Linked DNA regions of Canis lupus familiaris. The protein of the gene in region 3 interacts with the protein of the main gene of each other region in a pairwise test. Links are inferred from orthologs where the notes say so. Each region holds a gene or a part of one and is shown on either strand. Other genes may lie near its edges.

Region 1 (3,946 bases), on a different chromosome or scaffold from region 3:
AGACAATATTGAAGTCTGAAGACAGCAGAGGGTGGAGGGAGGCAATGATGAAGGTAGTGCTAGGGTGTGTGAGGGAACTCCCAGCTCATCCCAGGCACCCAGAGAAGGGCGGGGTGTGTCCAAAATTGGAGCAGATGGCCAGCAGAGCTGAGACATGAGCCAGGGAACCAGGAAGGGTTGTCTAATTCTCATGCCTATTCTACAGCACCTGCCCAGAGGCCCCCAGGGCCCTAAGAGGAACCCCAGGGCCAGCCCTGTCCTTCCCGCCATGTAATCCTGCAAGCCCACCTGGGTCAGATGCTGCTCAGAAGCAAAGCCAAGGCCATAGACGGTGTTGGCACGACTGTCTGCCCACTGCCCAAACTTCTGGGAGGTTTTGGTAAAGGTCATGTTGGGGGTGACGGTGCTGTTGATGATGGCCTGGGAAGAGGGAAGAGGGGGGAACACAATTCAAGCTTGATGAGACTGACAATAATGAACATGAGACCCCCAGGGTGTCACTTTGTATTAGCTCTTGGGAGGTTCTAGGTGTGAGCCATCTCAAGACAGAGACTGATTTAAGGGCTCCTCCCAACCCCCAGCCCCCAGGCACACAGCAGGGTAATGACTAGACCCAAACCTGCCTCTGAGACCTCAGGAGCCTGCCACCCCCACCCAGGCCCTGCCAGGACCTTGGCACCCCCAATGCTGATGATTCGGTAGACATTTCGGGTGGCATCATAGAAGTAGGAGACCGTGAGTGCGTGCTTGCCCGCGGGGATCCAGTTCCGCTTGGTGGCCGGGTCAATCTGGAACACATGTGCCCGTGTGCTGAAGATGGGCTGCTCCCTGCGTGGGGAGACGGTTCTCAGTGGGGCTAGGCATCCCCCAGGGGGCTCAGGGCCAAGCTGGGGAGGCAGGGGCTCACCTGGCTGTGGACATTGGTCAGGTTGGGTTGGGTGGGCTCCAAGAGGCAGCCAGAGGGATGGCAGGAGCTGCGGGTTCAGCCTCTGGGGGGAGAGAGGGATTGTGAGTGTCTCCCCAGGACAGGCTTAAGGAAACCAAGCGGGTCCAACCTCAGGACCCACCACCAGCCACACCATTCATAGAACCTCAATTAGAAAGGTAAAGGAATCAGCAGATCATTCAGCAAAAACACCCTGTCCCTCTCCTTTGGGAGGAAGCCCCCACACACCCTGAGCAGGAGATGACTCTCCGAGAGGAGCCAGGTGGCCCTGGATCTCCCAGCATAAACTTGTCAGCATGCTGGTTACTGAACCCAGAGTGACACCCCCTCAATACTGGTGCTAGATAGAGAAGGCCAAGGTGAACTCCTACTTGGTATTTTCTGCCACATTCACTCATCACTCCCCAAACCAGGATCTCCATCAAAATGTGGCCATCACCAGATGCCTCCTGGGAGACCAGTTCCTCCTAGATCCCACAGAGGGACCCCTCAGCTTCCACTCTAGGGCAGAGGCACACTTGGAGGCAGAGTCCAAATCCCCAGGGAGCTGCCAGCCTAGTTAAGAAGATGTAGTCAAACAAATTTACCCTGGTACCCACTAACCGATTGCCCATGACCACTCTATCCCAATACCATGCAGGGCTGGGTGGCATCAAGGATTGGGAGATCCCCAGCCCCTCTTGCTGCCTCCAGCCACGACCTCACAGATACCAGGAATGGCTGCCCTGGAGAATTCCTTAACCTCACCTCTGTGCCTCCAAAACCTGCATCTGGGGGATCTGCAGGGGACCAGGAGGGACCTGGGGAAGGGAGGTGGCCAGTGGGGGAAGGGAGGCCCCCCGCGGAGCGGCCTCCCTGGTCAGAGGAGGGTTGCCCCCCCACCCTGTCCTGGGCAGCTGCTGCCCGGGTCACAGGGTCTGAAACCGGAGCCCCTGTGTGGGGGAGGGGCGGCAGCGCTGGCCCGGGTTGGGAGCAAGTCCTGGGTCGAAGCAGGGTTCCAGGGTGCAGGGGTCCCAGAAACCCAGGCCCTGCCGGCCCTGACGGTCCTGCCGCGACTTGCAGCTTTGGGGAAAGTTACTCACCAACTAGTCATGTGCCTCGGTCGCCGCCGGCCGCGGGGCTCCCGGAGGAGGCCCGGACCCCGCCCGGTGCCAGGATCCCCAGTTGCGTGTGGGGGCGAAGCCCCACCCCATGCGCCCCGGGCTGGGGGGCCTGGTATTCAGTAAGGAAAGAATTCCCATCCGCGTCAGAATCGGGGCGCCCAGTGCGCTCCCCGACTTCGGGAAGTGCCACCCTCGACCCGGGAACTTCCGAGATTCGCGCGATGCCCCCCGACTCCGGGTCCAGAACTTCGGGGATCCCTCGCACCACCTCCGACTTCTAAATTCCGGGGACTCCCTGCCAGCTCTCCAGCCCCGGGTCGGTGATTTCGGGATCCTCTCGTGCCGCCTCCCAACCCCAGGCCGGGAACGTCGGGGACAGCGCAGCCTCCTCCAACGCCGGGTCCGGAACTTTGGGAACCCCTCGCCCCGTGCCCTCTCCGACCCCGGCTCCGGAACTTCGGGGCCCCTGCGCCCTCTCAAGCCCTGGAACTTCGGGGCTCCCCGGCCGCCCCCAGCCTCCCGGCCCGGAACTTCGGGGACCCCCGCGCCCTCGCCCCGGCCCTGGCACCTGGGGGCCCCCGCGTCCCCCGCGCAGGCTCGGACAGCCGGGCTCACCCTGCGGGCTCGGCGCCCCGCGAGTGTCCGGGCGCGAGTCGGGTGCTGCCCCGCGGCGCCGACTCCCCGCAGCCGGGCGCCCCGCTCGCTCGCTGGCTCCGGGGCCCGCGCCCTCCGCGCCGCCCTCCGCGCCGCCCGCGCCTTTGTCTGCGCCTCCGCCGCCGCCCGCGCCGCCTCCGGTCCCATCGCGGCCGGTCCCGACGCGGCCGCCGCCCGCCCCGCCTCCCCGGGCCGCCGAGGCCGCCCCGCAGCGCCCCCTGCCGGCCCTCCGCGGCGGGGGGGGGAAGGGAGGGGCGGAAGCCGGGAGCGGGGCGGGACGGGACTCCCTGGGGGCGGGGGGCGGGGTGAAGAGCGGGGAAGAGGGCCGGGGCGGATGGGGACAGAGACCCAGACCCAGAGGCAGAGACATGAGGGAGAGACACAGGAGGCAGACAGATGGAGGATGGGGCTTGATCGTCCTGTCGGGGCGGCCCTGGCCCTCGGGGCACTGCCTGAGGTCATGACCTTCTGCCTTTGATGGGAGTCCCTCTCCACCTGACAGGGATCTAGAGGCCGGGGCTCCTCTATCGCACGGAGCTGGGTGCTTGCACACAGTAGGTGCTCAGTGGGTGTAGCCTGGAAATGAAACAGACACAGGCTGGGCGAAAGCTAGAAGAGGCTGAGAGAGGCAAACAGTAGGCACTTAATGAGACTTGATCAGGGGTGCCCCGTTAGGAATCGTTCCTGCCTGACTCCCCCCCCAGCTCCAATCCCCTGTTGGGGAGAGGCTTCTATCCACCTTGTCTCCCAGGAGAGGAAGGTAACAATGCCAACATGGTCGAATTATCAGTATTGCTATGTTATAGGGTCTCAGAAGCCAGGGTAGAGCGAATATTGGGGCCCAGCTCCCACCAATTGTGCAAATCTCCTGGAGGTCCTCAGGCCTGGGTTTGCCATCACTGGTCAGGGGGAACCCTTCAGGCACTTGCCAGGAGAGGGTCCAACTGGAGATGAGCCAGGATCAGCCTCCCCAGGCCAGGGTCTGCCTGTGGGACCCACTTACTTGGCAGTCCAGTGGCTGCCCTTTCTCTGGACTCCTCCAAAGTCACACAGTGCCATCGGGTTCGTGGACAGAGGCACTGCAGCTCCCTCAAACCGAGGCCTACAGTTCCCTAAAGCCCTAAACCTCATGCTTGAGCTTTCCAACAATCTCAGAGATTTTGCTTTTTGCCTTCTCCGCCCCGTCTCATTTCCCTGTTTTTATTTCTGTTTTCCCCTGACCAGAATCATCTGGGCTGGTAGC
Region 2 (4,051 bases), on a different chromosome or scaffold from region 3:
TAAGAAAATGCTAGATGAAACAGTGAAAATGATTAATTTTATTAAGCCTTGACTCTTGTACATGTCTTTTTAAATATTCTTTGTGATGAAATGGGAAATATGCCTAGGGCAGGCACTTCTGCATACTGAAATAATGATTGTCTTGAGAAAAAGCACTTGTGTGAGTTTTGAATTGAGAGCTGAATTGCTTTTTTATGAAATAATCTTTTTGCTTAAAAAAAAAAAACACGAACAAACTGAAGTTACTAGATTTGGGTATTTGGCAGACACTCTTCAAGATGAATGAAGTGAGCCTGTCACTTGAAGGAAAACAACTGACAGTATTTGTTGCCAATGATAAAATATGAGTTTTTAAAGTGAAAATCAGAATTTTGGAAAAAAAAAAAAGAATTTTGGAACGCTTATATCTGCCACTAAGAACTTGACAGTTTCCCAATGCTTAAAGATCTGTTTGAGAAGATCAGTGGTGACATTCACAAATGTGCTTTTTTTTGATAGTGTATAATGAAATGTCAACATTTGGAGTATCTGCATAGCTCAGTGAACCAATATTTTTCAGATGACAAAGGATAATGTCACAAAATTGTTATATGAGTAAAAGATCTATTCAAAACGCAAGGCTTCTGGCCAAGACGAGTGACCTGGATGCCTGATGGCTAATGATGTCAAGAATAGGCTCATTGGCCATTTGTATATCTTTTTATTTATTATTTACTTATTTATTTCTTTTTATTTATTGTACAGAGAGAGTATGCACACAATAGTGGGGGGGGGGGCAGAGGGAGAGGGAGAGAGAGAGGATCCCAAGCAGGTTTCTATACTCAGTGTGGAGCCCGACTCAGGGCTTGATCTCACAACCCTGAGATCATGACCTGAGCCTAAGTCTAGAGTCTGTTGCTTACTCAACTGAGCCACCCAGGCACCCCTCTGTGTATATCCTTTGTTGATTTATGAAACTGGATTTTTTTTTTTTTTAACTGTTGAACTGTGACTTTCTTTTTGAGAGTGTTATATTAGGCTCTCTCCTGTAAATGGTGACATCGTGCGCCCTTCCTAGTTGAGCAGAGACCCATCTAGGCTCAGGAGTCATTATAAGACAGACAGCCTCCACCCTGACAGAAGTTGCTTGGATGTTTATATTTTCTTGGTTCATCTCTTTCAACTCAAATATGAAAGTTGGGTGCAGTTCTTTAATTTCTTTCCAGGTATCCTCTAAACCTACTGTTGCTCATCTTGCAGTTTTCTGGTGATGACATGGCATCTGCTAGCTCCAGCCGGCCAGGAGTGGCCCTGCCTTTTGAGAAGTCTCAGCTGACTTTGAAAGGTGAGTGGCAACATGTGAAATGTTTACTATTTGAGGCCCAGCCCAATCTTTGAGGAAAAGGCAGGGGTATGCCCACCTGGGTGTGAGAGCCAAACACTGTGAAACAGCTTAGGAATGTGAACTATTTATTCTCATAGGGTGACCATGTTGTAACTAGAATTCTATTTTTTCTTTCTTTCTTCCTTTTTAAAAAATATTTTATTTATTTATTCATGAGAGACACAGAGAGAGAGAGAGAGGCAGAGACACAGGCAGAGGGAGAAGCAGGCTCCATGAAGGGAGCCTGACATGGGACTCGATCCTGGGTCTCCAGGATCACACCCCGGGCTGACGGTGGCACTAAACTGCTGGGCCACCAGGGCTGCCCTATAGCTAGAATTCCTTTTTTTTTTTTTTTTTTAAAGATTTATTTATTTATTTATGATAGAGAGAGAGGCAGAGACACAGGAGGGAGAAACAGGCTCCATGCCAGGAGCCTGATGCGGGACTCAATCCCGGGACTGCAGGATCGCGCCCTGGGCCAAAGGCAGGCGCCAAACTGCTGAGCCACCCAGCGATCCCCTATAGCTAGAATTCTTAAAGAAGAACGATAAAAGGAACTTTTGGCAAAAATTGTTGAAAATGGTGATTCTGTGATGCCCCAGAACCCTTTCCTATCGATACTCATTCCCTAGGTTAATCTCATCCAACCTCATGACTTTATTTATTTATTTGAGAGAGTGAGCACACACAGTGGGGAAGGGCAGAGGGAGAGAGAAACTTTGACAGGCTCGTGCTTAGCAGAAGCCCAGCTACCTGATCTCAGGACCTGAGCTGAAATCCAGAGTCAGATACTTAACTGGCCACACCATGCAGGTGCCCCCCAACCTCATGGCTTTAAATGCCACCAATAATAAGGTCACTACTGCCAAAATTATGTCTCTAGCCTGGGCCTTTCCATTGATAGATTTCCAGATTTTGTATCTCTAGTAGCCCACTTGTCATTCCACTTGAATGTTTAGTAGCCATGTAAGCTCCTGGTTTTCCTTTATCATATCCTACGCTCAGCCAGCTGTGAACCTGGCCATGTCTGTCTGTCTTCGGAATGCAACTGTCGTTCAACCTCTTCTCACCACCCCCACCATCCCATGAGCTGCCTTCATCTCTACCCTTGATGAAGGCAGTAGTCTCCCTGCTTCTGTCCTTTGCCCTACTTCATTCTGTGGGTCACATAGCAGGCATGTCAAGGGCTTAAACATGTTGACAACTGGCTCTCCATCTCACCCAATAAAAGCTAAAGGTCCCACATGATGGGACCCCACCCATCACTCCCATTTCTCATTTCCTGTTACTCTTCTACCTAGACCCTGCTGTAGCCACATGGCCTCTTTGCTCTTCAGGGACTATACTGGGCACACTCCCACCTCTGAGCCTTTGCACTTGCTGTTCCCTTCGAGTGGAATGCTTTGGGGCCAGACGATTACCTGGTTTGCTTCCTTACTCTCTTTAGGTCTTTACTCAAAAGTCACCCTCTTCAGCCAGGCCTCCCTGATCCCTCTGTAGCCTCCCCCACACCCCACTTCCTCATGTCTATCCCCTTCACTACTTTATATTTGTCTTCTTAGGCTTGTCACCATTTAACACAGCACACATATGTATTTTTTAAGATTATTTGAGAGAGAGAGAGAGAGAGAGAAACTGCACAAGTTGGGGAAGGAGCAGAGAGAGGGACGAGCAGACTGAGCCCAATGCAGAGCCCTACTAGGGGCTCAACTTCATGACCCTGAAAGCACAATCTGAGCCAAAAATCAGGAGTTGGAGGCTCTAGTGACTGAGCCACCCAGGCGTCCCAACACAGTACATATTTTTATGTATTTCCTTTATTGACTGTCTCCTTCAGTAGAATGTAAACACAAAAATAGGAATTTTTCTCTATTTTCATTACTTTTGAAAACCCAGTGACACAGAATAGTACTGGATACATAGTGGGCTGTCAGTGAATATTCCTTGAATGACAGGTTGCTTTGGTGGCCTTAGCTCTGGAGTCATGGAACTGACTCCTTAGTGGAGTCATGGAACTGAGAGATGCTTGGGGAACAGTGCTGAGTATCAGAGCTCAGATACACGGTCATTTGGAGGCAAAATTGTCTCATTATTTTTTAATTTAATTTAATTTATTTTATTTTTAGTTGTTTTTTTAAAAAAAATTATTTGTTTTTATTGAAGTTTGATTTGTCAACGTATAGTATAACAACCAGTGCTCATCCCATCAAGTGCTCTCCTCAGTCCCCGTCACCCAGTCACCCCAACCCCCTGCCTGCTTCCCCTTCTGCAACCCTTTGTGTCTCATCATTTTTTAAATTATGATTTCTGAAATATAAATGTTACTCATTTCTTTTATCTGTTTATCAGCCTTAAGATTGTTTCCTTCCCTCCAGCTCCTCAGTGCTCGTCCTTGGAGGAAACTAATATACCAGTTTCTTTTCTTTCTTTCTTTTCTTTTTTTTTTTTTTTTTAAAGATTTTATTTATTTATTCATGAGAGACACACAGAAAGAGAAAGAGGCAGAGACACAGGCAGAGGGAGAAGCAAGCTCCATGCAGGGAGCCCAACATGGGACTTGATTCGGGACTTCAGGATCACACGCTGGGCCAAAGGCAGGCTCTAAACCACTGAGCCACCCAGGGATCCCCAATATATCAGTTTCTTGTGTGTCCCTTCTAAGTACATCAAAGGGGATATGATTGT
Region 3 (4,169 bases):
CTGGAGGAGTGAAGGGAGAAGGCAACGTGAATGGCCTGTTACTCCTGCAACGCCTGGCCCTCAGGAGACACCTCTTAAATATTGGTTAAATGGACAAATAAGTGAAGGACTGACTCCCTCCAGCTGGAAGCAATTTCGATCTCCTCTAAATTCCTTGCATCTGATCCGTATCTTTTTTTTTTTTTTTTTACCTTCTTGACCACATTCTGCCTCGCATTCCACTGTTTGAAACCTGTCTCCTCTACCAGAAGGTAAGCGGTCAGAGGCAAACTCCCATCTCTTTCTGAGCAAGGCCTCCCACTCTACCACGGCACAGTACACAGCAGCGACCCCTAGCAGGGACCCTCAATGCCAAATGAGTATCTGGCTGGAGTCCCACTGAGACCTGCTTCCCAGATGTGGGTCCTGGCTATTCTCAAGGCTTATGCCTACCAACCTTCCAACACCTGGCATAACTGTGGACCGCTGGGACACAGTGGCAGAGAGATCTCTGTGTGGAAATTAGGAATTTGGAAGACCTCGTTGGAAGGCAGGTTTCAGGAAGACCATGGCTCTCCGGGAGATGGAATCCTGAATATGAGATACTATAAAAACAAATGGGTTATAGCAAAGAATAAAAGGTGCTTTTCTGCACTGCAGAAAGTATCTACTTCCTAAAATTACAACCAATAGTTAGGAACACCCTGAAATATCAGACAGTGACACAGACCCAGCAATGAATTCTTCCCACAAAAGGACGCTCACCTCTGGCCAGAGCACCTGAGACAGCAAAGTTGAAAGATAAGAGAATACCAACTTCTTTTCACTCACCACTCCTCTCCTTCACCACTTCAGCTCTTTATCGCTCTTTTGTATGGATGCTACACATTGCACGGTGTCTGGGTGGCCCTCTGATGCTTGTGCTGTGCTTCCTGCTGTTCTGAGCTCCCATCACCCCACCTGATCCTCCTTCCATGTGATGGACAAAAAGCAAATATGGCCAACCCCATTTCCTGGATGAGATAAGGAAGTCTCAAGTTCCACGATTTGCCTAAGGGCATAAGAAAGTGGCTGAATTCCCACTAGAGACTTACCTGGTGAAGTGAACAAGCACACGGAAGGAGGCACGCATCTCTCTAATTGGAAGTAATCTCCCTGTCTGTCAACGTCCCAGAATGTGATCTTACCCAGAATGTGATCTTACCTCGCTCACAAACCCTCCTGCTCTACATCACACAAACCTGAAGCTGTTGTTTTGTTTTTTAAGTAGGCTCCCAGCCCAGTGTGGAGACCCACGCAGGGCTAGAACTGCGGACCTCAGGACGGTGGCATCAAGACCTGAGTCAGTATCAAGAGTCACACACTGAACCAAACGAGCCACCCAGGTACCCTGCAAACCCAAAAAAAGTTTATGTGTTTCCCAGGGGAGCCAAAGTGATGGCAGGGTTGGGTAGGTCCCAAGATGATGATGATGGGACTAAAATGTTGAATAACATCTGCAGACTCTAGTCTGCACACCTCCGTGACGGGTCATGGGCTCCTACAGGTGGACAGGGGTTTGGTTCCTGAGAAACTCAACCCTATGGGGACGACAGGCGTAAAAGATACACAGCAAGAGTGGAAGGCCCTGTTGTGAGCACTGTAAGGAGGGGTTAGGATGCAAAATGCTGATGGCCTCCGGGGCTCGCTCTCTCTCATTTCAAAAAGTCACAAGGTGTTTTATGCAAAGTACAAGAAAACCCTCCCGGTAGTTATCTTACCCGTTATAGGAAAAGGCATTTCTGAGCAGGAAAAAAAAGAGCCAATGACTCAAAGTGAAGCTACAGTATTGTTTTGAAATTGCCTTGGGAAACTGGCAAAGGAAAACCGACCCAGGGCGGGCCTGTGTCCGGGGCTCCGCGGCTGCATCGCCCGCAGTCTGGGGCCATCCGGGGCCAGCGGCCGGGGGTGGGGTGACTATGGGGCGGGCAGCAGTGACACGGAACTCTCAGAAAAAGGGACCAAGTGCACCCAGTCACTGCCAACAACTTGAGAGGCTTCCCGAGAACCGAGATAAGGCGTCAGGCCGGAGCCCGTGGCCCCAGAGGGACCCTGCAGGGCCCGAAGACCCAGGCGACCCAGGCGTACCCGCTGTTCATCCCAGAGGGGTGAAGGTCTGCACCCCCGCCCCGGGTTCGGGTCCCCTGGGCTGGTTTCCCTTACGCTTGCAACTTTCTTCGGCGGTTCTGTTCCAGACAGACAAACGCGCGGGCACAAAAAGGCTGCAGCGAGGCTGCCCGGAAAGTTCGGGAAAGGCCCCGGGGTGGGGGCAACAGCGCCCCCGCGGGGAGGGGGTGGCAGCGCCTGGAAGGGCAGCCCCGGGCCCCGAGCCCCGAGCCCCGAACGAGCCGCGGGCTGCAGGCGGGAGCCCCGTTCGGGGAGCCGGGGGGCGGGGACTCCGCGGGGGCACCAGGGGGCACCAGGGGGCACCAGGGGCGCCGCGGCCCCCCGCCCCGCCCCCCCGCCGTCCCGGGGCGCCCCCACCCCGCGGGGAGCCCTGCCCTGCCCTCCCGCCGGCCGCGGGGTCTCCCCGGGGCGCCGCCCCAGCCCCCGGGCCCCGCGCATCCCTTACCGCGCTGCTGCAGCTCCGGGCGGCTCCACGGCCCCGCCGCGCGCCGGGCATTTTTTTTTTTTTTTTTTTTTCTTTCCTCCTGGGAAACTTCTCCCGGGTCGGCAGGGCTGAGCCGGCCCGGCAGGAAAAGCGCTCGGCGCCGGGAGGCTGCGACCATCCGGGAACTTCGCGGAGATGTGAGCCCTCCCCTCGGCTCCCCGGCCTCCCCCCTCCCCTCCCCTCCCCTCCCCCCGCGGCCCCGCCACACGCGGACGCGCCGCCGGCCCTTCGCCCTCGGGCGCCCCGCCCGCCCCGCCCGCCCGGCCGCCGCGGGAGCCCCCGGAGCAGCGGGAGGCTGCGGCCCGCGGGGCTCCGTCCCCCCATCTCCGCCCCCCCCGCCCCTCCCCGGCTCGAGCGTCTGCAGAGGGGTGTGCACCGGGGCCCCTTCCCGCCGCCGGGGCGCCCCCCACCCGAGGGAGAGCCTTTTCCCTTCGCCCTCTATCTCTCTCTCCTCCGTTCTCCAAATTCATCTTAAAGATGAACCTCGGCCTGCAGCGGGGCCCACGGGAGCCCACGTGCATGTGCGCCCCCCGCCCCGCCCCGCCCCGCAGCCCGGGCCTCCCCCCTCCCCGCCCCGCCGCACCCGGGCGCCTCCTGGAGCCTGCAGCGGGGCCCACGGGAGCCCACGGGAGCCCACGTGCATGTGCGCCCCCCCCCGCAGCACCGGCCTCCCGCCCCGCAGCACCCGGGCGCCTCCTGGAGCCTGCAGCGGGGCCCACCGGAGCCCACGGGAGCCCACGTGCATGTGCGCCCCCCCCCGCAGCACCGGCCTCCCGCCCCGCAGCACCCGGGCGCCTCCTGGAGCCTGCAGCGGGGCCCACCGGAGCCCACGGGAGCCCACGTGCATGTGCGCCCCCTCCCCGCCCCGCCGCCCCGGGGCGACTCCTTGAGCAGTTTTGCCTCCCCAGGGATGGTGCCGACAGCCCCCCCTCGTCCTCAGGTACCGCACGGTCCCAGTTTGCAGAAAGCGAGGGGTCTTAGTTCTACTCGGTTGCCAAAGCGGACTCTCTCCTTAGCAGGCTCGCACCGGTGCTGAAAGCCCTGGGGACCCAAAGACAAGGGAACACCGAGACGACACAGATAGTAGAACGTGTGCCTTGGAAAAAACACCTGCAAGGTACGATCCATGCGATACCCATACCCACTCAGTCGAGTTAGAATTCCAAGGCCGGCTGCCCCTTTGAGTAACAGCAGAAAAGGTGGGAATATGTGCCCTAGAGTATTGCTCTCCTAGGCAGAGGAGACGCTTCATCCTGGACTTGAGGCTGTGTCTTCCTGTACCCTTGTCATGTGCACATTTGTATCTTGACATACTCCTAACAGGGGCGACAGCCCTTCTGCAAGAAAGGTTAAGTAATGTGTGTAAAACCTTCCTGTTGGCAAATGTTCCTAAACGTACCCATCTTTTCCTAAGATTTATCATGCAGTTGCTTTTCTTTTGAAGCCGTTTCTATGGTAATATGCGCATGGTTATGTTTTATATCAAACGAGGACAAGTGATTTCATGTATCAATATAGTATTCCAGACTTGAAGAGGTAT
Region 4 (4,169 bases), on a different chromosome or scaffold from region 3:
CCAGAGGCAAGTAGTTCAGCCGCCCAAAGGGCAGGACCAACTTCTGTACCACCTGTGGAGGAAGAGCAGCCCTTCACCTAGCATGAAACAGTTGATACCCTTCACAAGCTGAACCTCAGGGAGGCTTGGCCTGCAGGCTTGTAATGTCTCTGTAAAGGCAGAGCGATCCCTCTCCCCCGACGTACACACCAGAAGTTTGACAGCACAACCCGTGTCTTGAGCCCCACGTGATTAATCAAACCAATGGAGGAGACATCGCTGTGGGGTCTGGCCCTGAAGACTTAAGAGGAGTGGGCTTAATGAAGCTAAGACAGTGCTAAGTGAGTAGAACTGCAGAGAGCCAGGCATACACACTGGGTAGGTGGATGAGCCAGGAGGGGGTGTGCAAAGATAAAACCCCAGGGGGACAGAGCAGAGGGCCTGGCTGCTTGCTGCAGGAGGCAGCCAATCAAGCTGACAGGGAGCTGGGCTTGACACCGTGGAGGGCTAGGAGACAAGCATGGCAGGGTGGGAGGTAATCCCACCTTGCTGCTGAGCTGGGCTTCCTGGACCACCAGGAAATGGGCAATGGCTTCCAGAAGCTGGGGCTCCCGCAACCGGTGCCGGGCCAGGTGCTGGGCCAGGAGCACCATGACGTGAGGAGTCAGTTCCTCTGGCCTGGCCTCTGTGAAGAACAGCCTATTATGCTGGACCCTCAGTCCAGACACCACCACCGGCCTCCTCTTCAGCCCCTCCCCGCCACCTGCCTTCAGTCCCCTCCAGCACCTGCCAGGCTGCGGATGAGGTGCTGCCGTGGACGCCTCAGGAAATGAGGGCAGCTCAGAGCAGCTTCCAATCTTTGCCCACCGTGCAGGACAGGTTGCAGGGTGGGAGGTGGCTTCGGAGGGAGGCGAAACCTTCTCTCCTGCTCCAGGGCACACATCAGGGGCCCATCTGATGGGAAGCCTGAGAGGGAGAGGGTCAGAGGAGGCAGGCCTGGTAACAGGGAGCTGCTCTGTTCCAGTCATGGGGTTCAGCTGATGAATTCCCAACCTTTCACGTCTCTGTGTTCTGGACTGGATGGGCTATAGTGTAAGTGGAAGCACTGGAGAAGTGTGAAATACCATGTGACTGTGAGGTTATCAGGACAGTCTGCGGGCAAGAACTCAAATAAAGATGGCAAATGAGCTCTCATCTCACGCCAATGGTGACAAACTGTAGTGGCTTTCTAGAGCGCTGTGTAGGAAGGAATCCGGGCTTGGCACCCCTAGCTAAGCTGCAGGGAATGCTGCTCGACTCCTGGTGTCAGCTGTGGATACAAGGGGAGCGGCAGCAAGTGTGCCAAGGTATGCACCAGTCCTGCCAAAGCCCAAGAGGTGAATTCTGTCAGTGATCTTGGGTCTTCTACGCTCTTTCTCTATTCTTCCGTGAACACCCACCCCCCAGACACCCTCCTCACCAAGTAAGACTGCAAGGTGCAGACACACGTGGATGGTGTGAATGTCAAAGGAGGGGCAGTTTCGGATGATGAGCTGACTCAAGTCCTGTAGTGTGGCCTGCTCCACGGGAGGGGGCCGTGGCTGAGACCCCAAGAGCTGACCCAGACGACGAAGTGCCACAGGGTAGTGATGGGCGCGCACCTTGGTGGGGTTCTGGCCCAGCCAACGCAGCAGCTCCCCAGGGCTCCTCGCCTGTTCCAGAAGCCGCTGTAGCCCCTGCACGGGGCCTGCATGGAGGCCTCCTCCAGGAGGCTGGTCCCCCCACTTGCTGGGCCCCAGACAGCAGGGCTGTACTGGCGGGAGCAGCAGCAGGCCAGACAGCCGAGCAGCAGAGGCCTGGGCAGAGAGCAGGAGTCGAAGCATGGAGTTGGGTGATGGAGACCCTGAGGGGCAGCCCAGAAAAGGGGGTGAGCTTTTCTCCAAAGGGGAGAGAAACCGGAAACCAGCCATCAACTCCTGACCTCACTCCCCATTCAGAGGGCCCTGGGGTCAGAACACCCACTCATGTTCGTCCTTCCTCTGTGATTGCTCTAGTCTTCCCCACCCCGCCCCTCTCTGCCTCCTTCCATCCTTTAAAGCAGCACCTTCCATGTCCTCCGCACAGGGATATTTACAGAGCAATTCCACATGCACTATGGATCTCTGATGCTCCGCACGCGCCTCTGAGGTAGGCAGGGCTGGCACTACCTCCATTTCACAGGTGGAGAAACCAAGGCCCAGAGAGGAAAGGGGGGGGGGCGGTAAGCCCGAGGTCACGAGTCGGGTTAGTGGTCGTGCCCAGCCTGGAGCCCAGCTTGCCCTGTCGACACGCCCTCTCGACCACCTCCCCCTCCCGCAGGAGGCGGCAGCGGCAAGGAGGGTGGAACGCGGGCTCGGCAGCGGGGCGGTCCTGGGTTCCATGCTGGGCGCTCCCACTTACCAGCTGCATGACCTTGGACAAGTGGCTTCGTCTCTCTGCCCAAGCCTCCTCGCCCGTGAAACGAGAACGCAGCGCCCAGCTCGCAGGGGGCCCGTGGAGCCCGAGCGCGCGGCTTTGCAATGGCGCGGAGTCGGCGGTGTTAGGGGCCCCCACACCCACCCGGCCCGGCGACGCCCGGCGACGCCCGGAGACCGTGCTCACGGTCGCCAACACCAACTCCCGCCGCCCTCCCGCAGCCCGCCCCGCAGGCGCCACCCCTACATGGCTCCCCAGGCCCCGCGCAGGTCGCTCCCTCAGTCGGTCTCGGGGCCCGGGAGCCGGGCTCCCCCCGCGGCCTCCTCATCGGCAGGCCACCGAGTCCGCCATCTTCCCAGCAACCCCCGGACCGCGGCCCGGACGCCAATCGCGGCTCAGCCCCCGACCAGCACAGACGTGGCTCCCGTCAGGCCCCGCGCGTCCGGGCGCCGCGCGCCCCGCCCCCCGCGTCCGGAAGCTGCGCGCGCCGAGCCGGGGCGGTACCGCGGGCGGGGGGCGGGGCCAAGGGGCCGGGCGCCGAGGCTAGTGCGAAGAGCGAGCGGAAGTCGGCGGCTCGCCGTTGTAAGGCTGTGCACCCGGGAGGGCTCAGTCCCCGCCCAGCACCCCCAGAGGCCCACACACCCAGACACACAGCAGGAGTGAAAACTTCACAGTTATTTAATCTGCACGTGTTCCACAGAATCCCTCTGCCCCTCCCAGCTCCCCTTCCCCAGCGCCCCGCAGTCCTTGGGTCCTCCAACCAGCCCAAGGAGCTATCAGGGACTAGAGGTGGCTGGGTCCTCGGGCAGGACACTAAGAAGGGCCCAGGGGTGTAGCCCGGCTCTGCGGGGGGCCAAGGCAGTGACAGCAGCTGCCTGACCCCGAGGAGCTGACTGTCAATGGGGGCTGAGAGCCAGCAGCCCCAGGACGTGGCCCAGAGCCATGGAGGTCACAGGGAGGGGCGTCGGCGGACTCCCGGAGCGCTCTGCTGCGCAGGGCTGGGCTCCAGGGTAGTGGGAAGAGGCAGGCCGGAGAGGTGGGCCTGGGCAGACAGCATCGCCCACTGTGTCGAGGGGAGCAAGGTCCAGAGGGGCCAGCAACGCTGCCGAGAGCCCGTGGAGGCACTACGGGCGGTACATGGCAAAGGCCAGGAGACTGAGGAGCAGGGTGAAGCCGGCCAGACCCAGAGTGGCGGTCAGGGGAAAGAAGGGCCGGTACTGGATCTGGCAGTACCAGAGCAGCAGCAGCAGCAGAAGCAGAAGGGGCAGCAGCAGGCTGCCTATTTCCAGCCCGGAGGGGCCTGGCTCTGACCCCGGTGGGCAAGGGGGGTGTGGGGGACCGACTCGCGTGGACACGTGGCAGTGGAGAACGCAGTTGGGCGGGAGGTGAAGGCTGCCCAGGGTCTGGGTGTCGTCTCCTAGCAGCTGCCCTTGGTAGATGAGCCGCACCTGCTGTTCCCGGCCAGGAAACTGGGTCCTGAGGAGAGAGGGACCTGGGTAAGAGAGCAGGCCTCAGGCAATCCTGGTCCCTTGCCCAGAACCACACTCCCACCCCTCACCCTTGTCTCCACCCACCACCCAGCTGGTGGCCTCTAAAGAGGGGGAGTCCCCCCTGCCATAGGGGAATGATACAGTGTGTGATGTGAGGGCCTCAGTTCCCCCTCATCTATAGAAGGAGGGGGGAGTCTCAGATCTCTCTGGTGGCCCTTCTGGTCTGTGGTCACTCCCACCCCACTCTCAAGAATGTCTTTCCTGTCC

What was found. The genes of interacting proteins can lie anywhere in the genome.
Region 1: the proteins of WIPF1 (region 3) and HOMER3 interact in binary tests that used the Homo sapiens proteins (3 or more experiments, as listed by UniProt). The two-hybrid records come from large-scale screens. The link is inferred for Canis lupus familiaris from reciprocal best matches to the Homo sapiens genes WIPF1 and HOMER3.
Region 2: the proteins of WIPF1 (region 3) and WWP2 interact in binary tests that used the Homo sapiens proteins (3 or more experiments, as listed by UniProt). The two-hybrid records come from large-scale screens. The link is inferred for Canis lupus familiaris from reciprocal best matches to the Homo sapiens genes WIPF1 and WWP2.
Region 4: the proteins of WIPF1 (region 3) and FASTK interact in binary tests that used the Homo sapiens proteins (3 or more experiments, as listed by UniProt). The two-hybrid records come from large-scale screens. The link is inferred for Canis lupus familiaris from reciprocal best matches to the Homo sapiens genes WIPF1 and FASTK.

Annotation. Positions count from the first base shown.
Region 1 is NC_049241.1:44,587,857-44,591,802, reverse strand, and holds the start of HOMER3 (homer protein homolog 3), read right to left. Parts: upstream 2,801-3,946; 5' UTR 2,665-2,800; intron 2,559-2,664; exon of another isoform or gene 2,029-2,558; intron 1,684-2,028; exon of another isoform or gene 990-1,683; 5' UTR 922-989; coding exon 908-921; intron 829-907; coding exon 672-828; intron 421-671; coding exon 289-420; intron 1-288. UniProt on the Homo sapiens protein: Postsynaptic density scaffolding protein. Binds and cross-links cytoplasmic regions of GRM1, GRM5, ITPR1, DNM3, RYR1, RYR2, SHANK1 and SHANK3.
Region 2 is NC_049226.1:80,504,301-80,508,351, reverse strand, and holds the start of WWP2 (NEDD4-like E3 ubiquitin-protein ligase WWP2), read left to right. Parts: upstream 1-1,251; 5' UTR 1,252-1,254; coding exon 1,255-1,324; intron 1,325-4,051. UniProt on the Homo sapiens protein: E3 ubiquitin-protein ligase which accepts ubiquitin from an E2 ubiquitin-conjugating enzyme in the form of a thioester and then directly transfers the ubiquitin to targeted substrates.
Region 3 is NC_049257.1:19,016,488-19,020,656, forward strand, and holds the start of WIPF1 (WAS/WASL-interacting protein family member 1), read right to left. Parts: upstream 2,801-4,169; 5' UTR 2,591-2,800; intron 1-2,590. UniProt on the Homo sapiens protein: Plays a role in the reorganization of the actin cytoskeleton. Contributes with NCK1 and GRB2 in the recruitment and activation of WASL.
Region 4 is NC_049237.1:15,854,925-15,859,093, forward strand, and holds the start of FASTK (fas-activated serine/threonine kinase), read right to left. Parts: upstream 2,801-4,169; 5' UTR 2,741-2,800; coding exon 2,659-2,740; intron 1,862-2,658; coding exon 1,439-1,861; intron 946-1,438; coding exon 766-945; intron 665-765; coding exon 525-664; intron 53-524; coding exon 1-52. Other genes in the region: TMUB1 (transmembrane and ubiquitin-like domain-containing protein 1), read right to left, coding at 3,537-3,888. UniProt on the Homo sapiens protein: Phosphorylates the splicing regulator TIA1, thereby promoting the inclusion of FAS exon 6, which leads to an mRNA encoding a pro-apoptotic form of the receptor.